Lonchura striata: one gene and its partner. The protein of the gene in region 1 binds, or shares a complex with, the protein of each later gene. Links are inferred from orthologs where the notes say so. Each region holds a gene or a part of one and is shown on either strand. Other genes may lie near its edges.

The links. The genes of interacting proteins can lie anywhere in the genome.
Region 2: the proteins of RET (region 1) and DOK1 are in contact, whole or in part, in a crystal structure (PDB 1UEF), measured with the Mus musculus proteins. The link is inferred for Lonchura striata from reciprocal best matches to the Homo sapiens genes RET and DOK1. Residues at the interface, in NP_033076.2 of Mus musculus: Thr1056, Trp1057, Ile1058, Glu1059, Asn1060, Leu1062, Tyr1063; in NP_034200.4 of Mus musculus: Tyr203, Thr204, Leu205, Leu206, Arg207, Arg208, Tyr209, Gly210, Arg211, Asp212, Ser217, Phe218, Glu219, Gly221, Arg222, Arg223, Thr230, Phe242, Glu246, Ile249, Gln252.

The regions. Positions count from the first base shown.
Region 1 is NC_134609.1:8,398,017-8,405,189, forward strand, and holds the start of RET (proto-oncogene tyrosine-protein kinase receptor Ret), read right to left. Parts: upstream 3,064-7,173; 5' UTR 2,968-3,063; coding exon 2,922-2,967; intron 1-2,921. UniProt on the Homo sapiens protein: Receptor tyrosine-protein kinase involved in numerous cellular mechanisms including cell proliferation, neuronal navigation, cell migration, and cell differentiation in response to glia cell line-derived growth family factors (GDNF, NRTN, ARTN, PSPN and GDF15).
Region 2 is NC_134606.1:2,361,563-2,368,487, forward strand, and holds the start of DOK1 (docking protein 1), read left to right. Parts: upstream 1-3,903; coding exon 3,904-3,966; intron 3,967-4,100; coding exon 4,101-4,394; intron 4,395-6,591; coding exon 6,592-6,700; intron 6,701-6,925. Other genes in the region: protein O-GlcNAcase-like, read right to left, coding at 1,301-1,340. UniProt on the Homo sapiens protein: DOK proteins are enzymatically inert adaptor or scaffolding proteins. They provide a docking platform for the assembly of multimolecular signaling complexes. DOK1 appears to be a negative regulator of the insulin signaling pathway.

The sequences.
Region 1 (7,173 bases):
AAGTTTTATATCACAGCCAATAAAATAGAAAAAAAGTTTGAATAATCTGCATTCAAGAGCACATTGCTGAAGTAGAAACCTTATTATTTCCATTAGATTTCCCTTTCAATTTTAAAAAATTTGCATAGTGTAATGCTTACAAACTGCGTTTTATTCACTGAAAAGAAATTATCTTGTCAAAAGAATCCCCTTTAATTACAAAAATTACTTTCCAGACAAGACAATCCTACCAAGTCTTTCCCACAGGCACTCTTTTCTACATTTAACTGAACAAGGTCCTACTCTGATATCACTGAGCTTTCAGAATCAAAACTCCAGCACCAAACAGCCAGGCAGCATGACAAGCAAGTTAACACCCTGAAGTCCTGCAACTGACAAGATGCAAAACTTTTTCAAAAGACAGGTGCACACTCCATAATAAAACCCTGCCTTTCTTTTAATTGGTAAAAGAGACAGAAGCCTTAATTTGAGAAGAAACATTCCTTTTATTTTTGCTGGTTTTAGGCTACTGCACGTTAAGGACAGTGCATGCAGGAGACTCACACGTTGCCTGTGGTGCAGAAGCACCAAGGCTGTGCCTTTCTGCCTCAGAACAAATGGGCCAGTGTGCTTTATGCAGCCCACCAATACAAAATAACCAAACCTAATCCCTTCAACTAACAGCACGCTCACGGATTGCCCACGCCAGCTCACTCAGTAAAATGCCTCCGGGTTTGTTGAGAGCACGCGTTCTATGAACTACGGCAGTTTTAACCTCTCCAAAACCTTTCTATAAACCAAAGATGTACCAATAGCAATTGAGTGCAAGGGTATCCCTGCAGGTTAACTTTGGGTGGCAAGCCTCTATGATGAGGTCTTGCCCAGCTGAAAGAGATTCCTTCACACCACCTGGCAAGAGCACGCCAGTTATCACTGAAGAGACCCTGGCTTTCCCCCAGGATGGAGCCCACTGAAGTTTCACAGTGTTCTCCACGATAAGAATGCATCATCACTCCTGAGACAGCTGGGTTCCTAAACTGGAACTCTGTGCATGCAGGGGCTTTGCTAGTACCTCCAAGACACAATGCTGCAAACTCAGCTCTTACTGCATAAAAGCTAATTAGTGTCACACACCTCAACAATGTGAAGCAGTGTTTCTCTATCAACAGACACCCATAGAATATTGCTATGAATAATTCCTGAAATAACTATGAATACAATGACCCTAACTATAAATATAATGACCCAAAGCATAAATGTACACAACATTCCTTCCCAACAATTTTAGCAGAAAATAAGGAGAACCAAGTATTAAGCCTCAGTAGTCAAAGCTGCGAGCATAAGCAAAACATTTTTAACTTTAAGTATAAACAAGCAGTATACAAAAAAAAAATCTACTTGGCAGCCTACTCTACTCAAATAAATTAGCTCCTATAATATTCCTCCAAATATATTTTTGGCAGATCCAAAAGTTAACAATTTATGGCTACATTTAGTAATAAAAAGTCTTTGAAACTATTTCCAACTGCTGAGGTCTGATATTTAGGAAGGTTTAGATACCTGTCTTCAGTAAAGAGAACCCCTTTCCCATCTGAGAGTTTCAGAATGAAATTCATGTAAAGTTGTACAACTAAAAGTAAAATCAAATGGTGGTCCAACTGAAAGGGAAACGCTGCAAGAGGGGAAAAAAAAAAAAAAAAAAGCCATTTGAGAATGCAGCTCCAGAGTTCCTAACACCAGCTAGTTCAGGATGTGCAATAATCTGGGGTAACTCAGCATGAATTGAAGAAAACTCATCTGTCCAGCTTAAACAGAAATCACTGAAAATCATCTTCAAGCAAATGCATGTGAATCATTTTGGCTAATGAAAAGATAACCCTCAAGCCGAGAAACTTACGTAAATTACATTTCTCCTAATTCTGCCAAAAAACATTAAAGAAAATGGATTTGCCAAAGATAAAAGCAAAGTAGGCATGATAGATCATCCATTAGCAATACAAGTATGGCTAATTCTTCCTGACAGTGAAATGTCTTGGGATGCAACCCACTTTATTTTTTTTTTTACTAGATGAGTGTGTTTAGATGCTGTATATCCTACACATTTTATACCCTTATATCATAGACTTCACTACTAGTGAGATTTTACAAAAATCAGGCCTTAACAACAACCTATTAAGAAGAGAAAACATATGGGCAACTTAAAGTATTTCAGTGTAGTAAAAAAAAATTAAAAATTAAATAGGAGCTTTATAATATCTGCAAGTATTGCAAGTAGTTTAAAATGGTACAAATTAATACAGTTAATCTGAATTAATAACAAGAAGGAAAAAGTCACATGCTTATGAGGAATCACAAGGGCAGAATTAATATTGCACTCTACTCACTGTTAGAACAACTAGTGAAGTAGTTTGGGCTTTACTTTTTTCATAAATGCATTTCTGACGTGCAAGGTTGTACTGCATTCTCTAGCATACAACTTTTATTTATTCATGTAAACGTCAGAAATCCATCAGCAAACAAAGCCATATGGAAGAAAAAGAGATATAATGGATTTTCTGTTTGCTTTAGAAACTTGACATCTGCGGATAGCATCATCCAACTTACAATGCAATCACTATTCGTATTCTGGTCATTTTCATTTACCAATCCAAAACGCATTTTATCTAATGATACAAAAAGCTCTGGGAATAGGATAGCAGAGAAGAAATAATGTTTTAGAAAGTTAAAATGGGAATATACTTTAATATTTTCCCTTTCACATCATAAATTCAGAGAAAAGCAAACTCACATCTGTTCTAACTTAGCTTTTAAAAAACGAAGAAAACGCATCAGGATTATTTATATCTTGTCTGTATTTGTGGCAAGATTTTCGGGGCCGGAGCGAGCCGCGGGTGCCACCTGAGCTCCGCCAAGTTCCCGGGGGCCGGGCTCGCGGTACTTACCCCCGCAGAGCAGGAGGAGCCCGGCTGTCCGCGCCGCCGAGCGCATCTTCCCCGCGCGGTGCGGCCCCGCCTCGGCGCTCCGGGCGGCACCGGCCGGGCTGCCGGACGGTCCGCGGGTCTCAGTCGGGCCGGCCCATGGCCCGGGCCGGCGGCAGCACGGAGCCGGGCGCGGACGGGACAGCCCGCGCCGGGATGCTTCTCCGCCGCTCCTTCTCTCGGTCCTCCTGGCTCCGGTGCCGCCCCGCCGCCACCGGCCGGGAAGAAAGCGCCTCGTTCCCTCGGCGGTGCCGGCGCCTCTCGGGCTCTGCGGGGAGAGCGAAGTCAGGAGCGAAGCCTCCGCTCCGCCGCGCCCGGCGCCGAACCCCCCGCGCTGCCCGGGCGGCGGCACCGCCCGGCTCCGGCCAGCCCCCGGCCCCTCCTCCGCGGCCGCCGGGCCGCTCTGCCCGGGCCGCCCCGCCCCGCCCCGCCCGCGGAGCCTCCGCCGAGGGGCGGCCCCGCCCCGCGCATCCCCGCGGGCAAGGTGCGGGGCCGGGCACCGGCCCGCGTCCCCCGGCCCCGCGGGCAGCAGCGGGGAGCGGGCGGCAGGAGCGGGAGGCGGCGGCCTGAGGGAGAAGACCGGCGAGCCGCGCAAACACACCAGGTGCGAGACAAAGCGGGGACAGGCGCTGCGGCACCAGGATGTGCCCGAGTGGCCGTCTTCCCCGTCAGCCGAAACACATTAAACGTGTTGAATAATTAATCCTTAGGAGAGGAGACAGTTTTTGCTTGATGGTAGGAGGATGCTGTAGAAGATGTGCGCTACCTGGCAGGCAACCAAAGTAACCCGGAACGCGCGCGTCCCGCTGAGCGGCGAAACGCCACTTTTAAACCGCAAGCGGGAGGGGGTGGGGGGCGGGAAACCTAACCGAGCCAAAGCTGAAATACGCTGTGACAGGTCGGGCTGGGCGAGAAAAGCACTCCGAAAAAGCCGCCGCTCACAAACGCCGCCCCGAGCCCCGCCGCCGGCGCTGCCTCCGCCCGGCGGCCCCGCCGCAGCGCCCGGCCCGCCCGCGCCCTGCCCCGGCTGCCGCGGCCGCGCCGGAGCCGCGGGCAGCGCGGGATGGGCGGGCACAGCCTCCCGACACCCGCGGGCGCAGCCTCCCGACACCCGCGGGCACAGCCTCCCGACACCGACCCCCGCGGGCGCAGCCTCCCGACACCCGCGGGCACAGCCTCCCGACACCCGCGGGCACAGCCTCCCGACACCGACACCCGCGGGCACAGCCTCCCGACCCCCGCGGGCACAGCCTCCCGACCCCCGCGGGCGCAGCCTCCCGACCCCCGCGGGCACAGCCTCCCGACCCCCGCGGGCACCGCGCCCGCGCAGCCTCTGGAGGGGCCACGGCGACTGCCGCCTGACACAAACCCTGCCCCGCTCCCCGCACCTCTCCTGTCACGGCATCTTCAACCTGCCGAGGAGATATTTATTTTCTGCTCCTCTCCCGAAAGACGATGCTGCTTCCACACAGCCGCGCTGCTCCAGAGATCTGGTCGTCAGGATTCAGACACAGATCAGCAGCTACAGTGTTCGGCTTCACCAGCCTTCACACTCTGAAACGCCCAAGCAAGGTCAAGTAGACACACAGAGTAGATAACCCGATGCCGTTGCACCTAGCAAGAATTGCTGTAGATTATTTAAATATAAGTCAAAAAAGAAATTCTCTCTCTAGGTTAGTAAGGACTCTGCTTACAATACCTAGCACTTTAAGAGGCGAAGTACGAGAAATAGTACTACAGGAATAGTAAAAGAACTAACCTATTTTAACTTTTCTGTTAGATCTTCAAGTTAAATTTTCTTCCATGGTCTTCATAAGGCTTGGGAAAACAATAAGCCAAGTCAAAGCAACTAGAAGGGTAATAATGAATTTGAGATGAGCAATAATAACCACCATTAATTAATTGCTTTTGAAGCTGCCTGTCACATAGTATAAATTAAACTTTTGAGTACTTACTCACGTGTCAAGTGTTTGTGGGGCTTTTGCAAGTGCCTGAAAGAGGAAACTGAGAAGGTTACTTGGGAAGTCTTTGTGAACCAAATGAAAGTCTATAGCAAAGAAAGCAACACATAAAACATTAACATTAAATCAATGCTTTGTGGAGAAATGTCTTAGGTTAAGCTAAGCTTTATCTTAAATCATATTTAAAAGCTCGTGCAGTATACAAATCAATATTGATGCCATCTAAAATACACCACTATCATCTGCACTGATAAATGCCAGTTTTCATCCAGGACAAAGTGACTTCTTGGAAGAATTTCAAGGACTTACAATCTCTTCTGGCATCTCAGCAACTGAAGCCAAAGCTGTACTCTTCTGCCAGCTTCAGGCTCTGCTCCAGCACACTAAAACTGGTTTTAGATGCCATCATGTTCGTCATGCAAGGAACAGAAGTAAGGTCACCAGAATAATTTTTTCATTTGATTTCCAGGCTTTTAAGCTAAGCAGTTTTATGTGTTTTCAGAGAATTGTAGCTTACACACAACGCACCTGGAAAAAACTATCCAACTTGGATGAAATACGTGTGTCTTCTGTGTTCCAGCTACTGTGATCACGTCTCTCATGTTAATGTAGTCACCATTCTTCCTGAAACTGCTGTCCTTTATGTCAGCACTGGTATATTGAGGAAACATAGTTCAGCCAGGAATTATAGCCTACCATACAGAAGACAAAAATAACATAAGTGCAGCATCTCTCAAATCCTGGAAAAGCCTATCAAAATTGAGGCATTTTAAATTTTCCACTTGAAATTCAAACTTCAGGAGAAAAATCTTAAACCCTTCATGCCCAGCCTGGTTTCCACATCCCTGAAGAGGCCCAAGACAGGCTGTGAACCATCTGCCCTTGAGTTTACATGAGCCATACAAGCCTATAGCAACCATCTCTTTCCAACAGCTAACTTCTGCTGCACTATGCATAAAATACACTTCCACGTCATTCACTTGGTTTCTTTGTCTGAAGGCCTTTTGAAAACTGAATGAAAATCTGTGCTTGTAAATGGGGAATAAAAAAGCGAGGTGTCCTTAATTTCCCAGAAAAACTCAAGCTTTGCAGTGGCATCTCCCATCATTCTCCTAGCAGAAATACTTTGGAAGTAAATCAACACTTTCCTGCAGGCTAGTGCAATTGCAAAACTATGGCTCATACTCCTTCTCTTCCCCCCACCCCTCTGCTTTGACTCATTTATTTGGCACAGCAGGCTGAACTATTAAATTATTGTAGGTTTTCCTTTTATAAAGGCACCATGAGATGTCTCGATACAATAATGCTTCCTGAAACTGATGCTGATTGATAACTGTTTCTTGGTTTCATCACAAGTCTTATATCATGTTCATTTAGCATCAGGGCAGGACACTTCAGGACTCTTTCACCTTTCTATGTTTTCCAAACAGTCATGCACAAACACTGAAATATTTTCGGGTAAAACCCTTCCTAGGATATTGTATTTAAAATACAATTCTCGATCAGTTCAGGGCTTGAATACTTTTTTCCCCCATGCTATGAAGTTGGTTACTGTAGAAACTCAGTCTGAGATGCTGCTGTTGATCATGTAGGACAAAACTATTTTAAACCTACAAAAATGGGTTATTAACATTCAACACTATTTTGTGATCAAACTGTCAAGTCTTTCATACAGTTACAACTACGGTGGCACTAAACAGATATTCTTCCTGAGGTAGATCTAATAGTAAAAGGACAGATTAAACTTTGATCCTGACAGTGACAAAGAATTTATCTGCATGTCATACTTAAAGTTCTTATATACATGTTTTTCCACAATCCCTGGGCTTTATTTTCCTATCCTTCTGTCAATTTCTTTATTTTCTATTTGTTAGATATTGCTAACATATAAACTGCACAGTATCCATATTATCTATTTAATTTCTATCCACTTGAGAGCATCGAAAGAGCTAAAAGCTCTTTGTTTTCCCAAAATACTCATCCAAAAGTGCTATGAATTGGTCAGAAACACTGACTACCATGAAGAAGCAGCAAACTTGTGCTAGGAGATGTCTCCATCTTGGCACCTAGAGAAGGGAACCAAGAAGCTATTTCTTTCAAGTCAGGAGGAAAGAAGTCATACTTGTGGAGAAAGTGCTACAGACTGTCCTGATAACAAGAAGTTTAAGCAAGAGCTTAGGATTGTCCAATAAATAGATAGATTTCAAGGCAAAACCCAGATTCTTGTGAAAGCAGTGACTGGCATAAGTGAAGAT
Region 2 (6,925 bases), on another chromosome or scaffold:
TCTCTGCATCATGGGCAACTTTGGAGTCAATCACTGCAATTTCCAGCAGCCGGGGCCAAGGGGAGCAGACACTTGGGAAATGACAGCATTCCCAAAACTGGGTGGTGCACAGGGGCAGGCTGCACTGACTCCATCAAGCTGGGAGAAAGGACCAGCTCTCCATGTCTGGCCAGTGTCACCTGCATTTCCCAAAGTGTCTGAGTGTCCCAGAGCTCATCTGCCCCCATTCCCTTGGCTCCCTTTGGCAGGAGCCCACCCTGCAACCCCCAGCACCGGTCCTGGGCAATGGTGAGGGGGCTTGCACCACAACAACACCCACTCTCCATCTGTCTTCTCTCTGCAGACAGATTTTCTACCTGCCTGAACACCTACATGGTTATTCCACGTACTTTGAAATAATATATGGTCACCTTGCTATGGTCACACACCCCACTGTGCCAAAATTTGTGGCCACTTGAGAATCCCAGCAAACATTTCACCTCAAAAAAAGTTATTTCTGTGGTAAATAATTTGCTATTTTGAGATCCCAGCGAGGTCCCCAGAGTCCCTGTATGGCCCCTGCAAGTGACACTTTCACAGCACATGTTGCTGTGAGCTGGCGTGGGCTGGCAAGGAGGCCTCTGAGTGCTGCACACACCCTGCCAGCAGTGTTCTCCTGGAATGGATTTGCCAGCATCATCCCTGCCCTCTTCCCCAGGTCAGCTCTACTATATCAATGATTCACGTCTGACTCATGTCAGCTTCTCCACCCCTGCATTTCCTGTTTATTTTACATTTGTTTGCACGGTGCTCCTGCACCCTCTCAGGTGAGGCAGAGGGCAGTGCCCCTCACAGTGCTGCCAGCAGAAGGGCAGATGATTCTGCCTGGTGGGTGCTCAGCTCCAGAGGGAGTTGGGGATGTGGGGAGGGAGAAGCACAGAGCTCTCCCTGGCCGGCTCTGGCCACGGGTCCTGCACAGCTGTCCCACGGGTAGGGTGGGCAGGGGGGACACACCGGGAAGCTGCCCCGAGTCCAGGGCAGCCAAGAACCCCTTGCAGAGCTCTGGAGGCCGAGCAGAGGGTCCCTGTGTCCCTCTGGGGGCTTTGATTCTGCTGGGGTGGCTGCAGGGCTCTCTGGGGAGAGCTGGGAGCATCCCAGAGGTGCTGGTCCAGGCCCCTGGCAGAGATGGGGCCCCACTCCCACCTCTCCCACAGCCTGGGGCCCTTCCCGAGCCCGGTTCACTTCGGGTGGGTCGGAACAGCCCCTGCAATGCCCGGGCGAGTCGGGCACCGGCCCCAGTCGCGGCCCCGGAGGGACTTACCTTCCACCACGCCGCAGAGGAAGCGCGGCCGCTCCGCCATCCCCGCGCAGGAGCGGCCCCGCCGGCCGCAGGGTGCGCGGGGGGGGACGGAGAGATGCGCGGAGGGATGGAGGAGTGCGCGGAGGAACGAGGGGAGAGATGCGCGGGGGGATGGAGGGGGAGCGGGGGGATGGAGGAGTGCGCGGAGGAACGAGGGGAGAGATGCGCGGAGGAACGAGGGGAGAGATGCGCGGAGGGATGGAGGGGGAGCGGGGGGATGGAGGAGTGCGCGGAGGGATGGAGGGGAGAGATGCACCGAGGGATGGAGGAGTGCGCGGAAGGACGGAGGGCGCGCAGAGGTGGAGGGAGAGATGCGCGGAGGGATGGAGGAGTGCGCGGAGGAACGCGCGGAGAGATGCGCGGGGGATGGAGGAGTGCGCGGAGGGATGGAGGAGTGCGCGGAAGGACGGAGGGCGCGCAGAGGTGGAGGGAGCGCGGAGCGATGCGCGGGGGGATGGAGGGTGCGCGGGGAGGGATGAGGTGTTCGCGGGAGGGGATGGCAGGTGCGCAGGGGGACGGAAGGATGCGCGGAGGGATGGAATGTTTGCGGGGGACGGAGGGTGCGCGGAGGGCTCCGCGCAGGGGCGGCTCCACCGCCCGCCCTCCCCGGCGGGGACGCGCTCGCCGCAGCGCAGGGGGCGGCCCCGCGGGTGGGGCCGGGCCGCGGGGCGGAGCGGGGTGGGGGGGTCCCCGAAATCCGTGCGGAGCCCCTGCGAGGCGATGCTCCGGCCGCAGTCTCGGAGCCCGCGGACCGGAGCCCCCGGCGCTGCAGCCGCCGCCGCCTCCGGTGTCCACGGCAGCTCCGGTCCGCCACGTCCCCAACTGCGGGGGTCCTCCCGGTGGAGCAATCCCTTCTCCCGGCTTTGAAGCTTCCCGGGAGCCCCACAGCCGCAGAGTTGTTCCCGAGGGGTGGGGTGTCATTATCCTTGTGTTCACCACCGAGCTGGCACCTGCCCTGGCCACACCCTCATGCCAGGCCGAGGGTGCCATGCCTCTGCAGGTCGGTCCGTGCCCTCGGGCGGCCCTTGTGCCTCGCAGGGGACTCAGCTGCTGCCTGTGCCGGGCTGTTTGCCTTGTGCCGCCCTGCTCTGAGCTGCTGACGCTCGTCTGGCTCGTGGCTGTCTCTGCCACCCTGTCCTGCAGCTGCACAGCACAGAGCTCTGCCCACACACGGCCCGGGCTGTTTGACACCGCCGAGTAATCTTGTTCTTTTTCAGACCACTGGGCCTGTTTGCTGATGTCATTGTTTTGCCAGGGTTTGCGGTCTGATCTTTCGTCTGTCTTGTGCACTTTGTTATTGGTATTGCTGTGGTTACATCCCCTTGCTGTTTCTAGCACACTGTTCTTATCTCAGCCTGTGTGATCTTTACTTTTTGTGCCTCCAATTCTCCTCTCCATCCTGCCTCGGGGGAGGGTAGGGCTGTGAGCAATTGGTCTGGGATGTTTCAATGTGAGCACTTAATTGGGGAATGTCATTCCTAAACCAGGACGCCAGCACAATTATGGTACCGTGAACATGTGAAGGGTGATGCCAGGACAGTGCAGAGGGTCACCCCTGCATCCATCCAGGCACTGCAAAGCTCCCCTCAGCAGCTCTCCCCACCTGCAGCCGTTTCATCAAAACCACAGGTGGAGAAATGGGGATCAGAGCCTGGAAAACCAGGATCTGTGGCTTCTCCCTCTTCCCTTTGCAGGTTTATATTGTGTCAGGAAACCGAGTCATGATGCCTAGGCCATCAAAGCAGCAAGAAGCCCAAGAGTGTCTGACCAGCAGTGACCTGGCAGGGTCACAGTGCCATCAGAGTGCCACCAGGCTGGTTCATCCACGCTGGGGTGTGCTGAGCACAGGCTGTGCTTGTCCTTGTTCCTTGCCTCGCAGCCAGCACCTGTCCCACCTGCAGCTGGGAATGCTGGACTCAAGCCTGGCCCTGCAGGAGGCTTCTGGGGCACACTGGAGTGGCCAGCAGTGGCAGGGACAGTTCTGGGAGCAGCTTGGTGCCCCTGGAGTGGCTTTGGTGCCCAGGCACATGGCATGGTTGGAGGCAGGGAGATATGGATAGCATTGCCCCATCCACAAAGACAGAGAATGAAATCGTGCACGGCTGTGCATACACAGGTGTTTGCTGTGATTCTTCGCCTTCTCTGCTCTCTCTGCGAGCACCTGCCCATTCCACGATTTTCCTGAACTATGTGCTTGAGGTAAGCAGCCTCTAGTCCTCCCCTTCATTTCCTCTCCTGTCAAAGACATCACTCCTTTCCCCTGTGCTGTGAAACCTCACCTCTCCGCTGTCCACTCCCCACATTGCCCTGGCTTAACCTCAGCCCATCCGAGCGCGTCTTCCCGTCCCCATGGAGAGCACACGGCTGTGCCACACGTGTGTGCACACACCCAGGCGTGCACACACGCGTTCACACACGTGTTCACACGCACACACGCGTTCACACACATGTTCACACGCACACACGCCAGCACACCCCGCCCCTGACACGCTCGTCCCCGCCCGGTCCCCACCCGGTCCCCGCCCCGGTCCCCGCCCCAGCGGCGCGGGCGGAAGCGCTCGGGGATGGAGCCGCCGGCCATGGAGGGGCCGCTGCTGGTGCAGCACAGCCACAAGTTCGGCACCAAGGTGGGTCCTGGAATCCCTTCCTCCCTCTCCCTCTTCCTTCCCTTCTTCCCTTCCTCCCCTCCCCCGGGCCCGGCTGCGCTCCGGGGCCCCGTGCGGGGAGCGGCCCGGGCGCGGTGTGACCGCGCTGCCCGCAGCGCTGGAAGCGCGGCTGGTCCGCGCTTTACCCCGCCAGCCAGCACGGCGTGGCTCGCCTCGAGGTGTTCGACTGCAAGGAGCCGTCGGCGGCCGGGCGGGCGGGCACCCGGCGGCTCGCCCGCACCGTGGTGCGGCTCAGCGACTGCACCAGCGTGGCCCCGGTGGGCGAGGGCGGCCCCCGCGCCGGCACCGCCACCTTCCGCCTGGAGACCCGCGACCGCAGCTTCCTCTTCGCGGCCGAGAAGCAGCAGAGCGAGGAGTGGGTGGCGAAGCTGTGCCAGATCGCCTTCCCGGTGAGCCCCGGGCTGGGAGGGCCGTGCAGGGTGGCACAAGGACATCGGTGTTGTGGGGGGGACGCCTTCCCACCTGGCAGCCCAGGGAAGGACATCCTGAGGCAGCGCCTGTGGTCTCAGTGCCCGGCCCTGGCACTCCGGTGCCCTCTCGATGGCTCCTGCTGTGGTTTGTGGGACTTTCTCGGCGTGCTGTCAATAATTCGAGGTTGTGGCTCCGAATTTCAAGTCGGGCTCTTCTTGCCGGGTGCAGAGAGCTGGCAGGAGGCCAGCTGATGGCCGAGGAGCGTTTCCTCTTGGCCCAACCATTGCTGCCTTTCCTGCCACAGCGGCGGAAGCGGAGCCCCGAGAGCGTTGCGGGACCTGGCTGGTTCCAGGACCTGGAACCCCCTTTCCCAGCCTTGGGGCTCGCTCCTGGCTGCTGCTGTGGGCACCCCATCTGTGCTGGGGCTCTGGAAGAGCTGCCCAGCCCCCTGTCCTCTGCAGCCCCTGGAGCTGCTGGCCAGGCAGTGTGAGCAGCCAGGGCTGTTTGGGCAGTGTGCTAGAAACAGCAATGGGATGTAACCACAGCAATACCAATAACAAAGTGCACAAGACGGACAAAAGATCAGACCACGAACCCTGGCAAAACAAAACACCCTGACAAGTGTGGTTTTCTGTGCCCTCTGGGACAGCAGCCCACGCCTGCCCAGCTCCACAGCGCTGGCTCTCCCTCCTGGGAGGTGTTTGCAGAGGCCTGGGTTTGGCTTCAGCTGATTCCAGGCTTGGAGTGCTGGGCAGGGCTGCCTGGCAGGAGGTGCACAGCTGGTGATCCCAGGATCTCCCCTGAGTGTGATTTACCTTTGTCCCTTGAACGTTTCCCTGCAGTCTCCTGCCCAGCCAGGTGTGTCTGTGCAACAAATGCCAGGGCTGGGAGGGCTGGGAGGCACTGGTGGAAATGTCTCTGTGCTGCCTGGTGCAGTCAGGGTTGCAGCTTTTGCCTTGAAAGAGGCTTGTGGGGCTGAGCTGGGGGCACAACACAACCTTGGAGTGGGGCAGGGTGGTGGCCAGGCCAGGGAGCACCTGCCTGGAGCTCCCAGCCCCCACACAGGAACCGTGATTTTGTGTGCCTGAGGTCCAGAAGCAAGCTGGAAGTTTGGGAGGTTGTGAGCAAAAGGCTGCAAGGCTGGCATGTGTTTTAAAAAGGCCTGACCTGGAGCAGGAGGCACAAGAGCTGCACATGGCCTCTCTGCACGGAGCTGGAGATCCTCAGCTGGGATTGCTGATCATCTGCATGGAGAATGTGATTTTGTGTCATGTTCCTGCCCAGAGGGTATGCAGGGTCCAGCAGCTTGGGAGCTGGAGCCAGAGGTCATTTGGAGTTCAGAACAAATTTTTGAATTTCCTTTTGAAGATGAGGAGAAGTGCAGTCAAATGGAGACTTAGAGGCTTTGGCAGATTTGGTGGCCCTTGGCTTTCCAGTCCCAGGCTGGAGCCCTGCTGCATTGGATGCTTTAGCTGGGGAGGAGCTACTGCTATCAGCTCTCAGGACATGAAGTTTGAGGACCCAAACACTTGATGGCCCTTTTCTTGGGCCTTGTTTGTGCTTCTTGTTAAGAAGCTAATGTGTGTGAGTTTTAAACTGAAGCTGTGGCACTTGCCTTCTGCGAGATGCACCCTCTGCTGCAACCCCAAGGAAGCGCTCCGCACACTGAGCTTCCCTTGTGCCAGCTGCACAGGGCTGTCATTAGTGAGCAGCTTTTCTGCAGGAGGATCTCTGAAAGCACCGAGGGTTTGTGTCCTGCCCCAGGCCCTTTGGGGGCCCTGCTGCTGGGACACAGTTGCTGACAGCGTGTGTTGCGTTTTCAGTTCTGCTTGTGCTAAAATAGAAGCGCTCGCTTCCCCTCTGCAGGCTCCCCCTCCTCCTGGACAGGACACAGACCCCCGTGTCACCAGGCCATCAGTGCTTGGCATGGTATGGCCAGGAGGGTGTGTTTGGGTTGTGCCATGCTTTGGGGGCAGCTGTGCGGGCGCAGAGCCCAGCTGGGGACAGGGCGCTGCCAGGAGCTCAGGGAAGTCCCCCCTGTGCTGCCTGCCCGTGTTCGTGTGGGCTCAGGGGATTCTGTGGGCAGGGTGCAGGACAGCCAGGCTGTGTGGGGGCCCAGGCCTGGGGGCTGATGTGGGGAGAGAACTCTGGGTCTGATCTGCTCTCCTTTGCCAGGGAAATGGCCCCAGCGATGGCGTGGTGTCACAGTATGGCCGAGAGGGCAGCGGGGAGTCACCGGCCCTGGAGATGGCTGTGAACTCCATCTACTACTCCAGAGATGAAGGTGGGACCTGCTGCTGCCCTGATGTGGGGCCACCTTCCACGGAGCCTTGTCCTGCTGCTGCCCCATTATTGGGGCCACGCTGGGCAGTGCCTGTGTCCCTCTGCCCTGCTCTGAGCAGCCCTGTCCCCGCAGTGGGGCTGGCTGTCCCCTGAGCAGCTCTGCAGAGGGGCTGGCTGTCCCCTGAGCAACCCCGCAGTGGGGCTGGCTGTCCCCTGAGCAACCCTG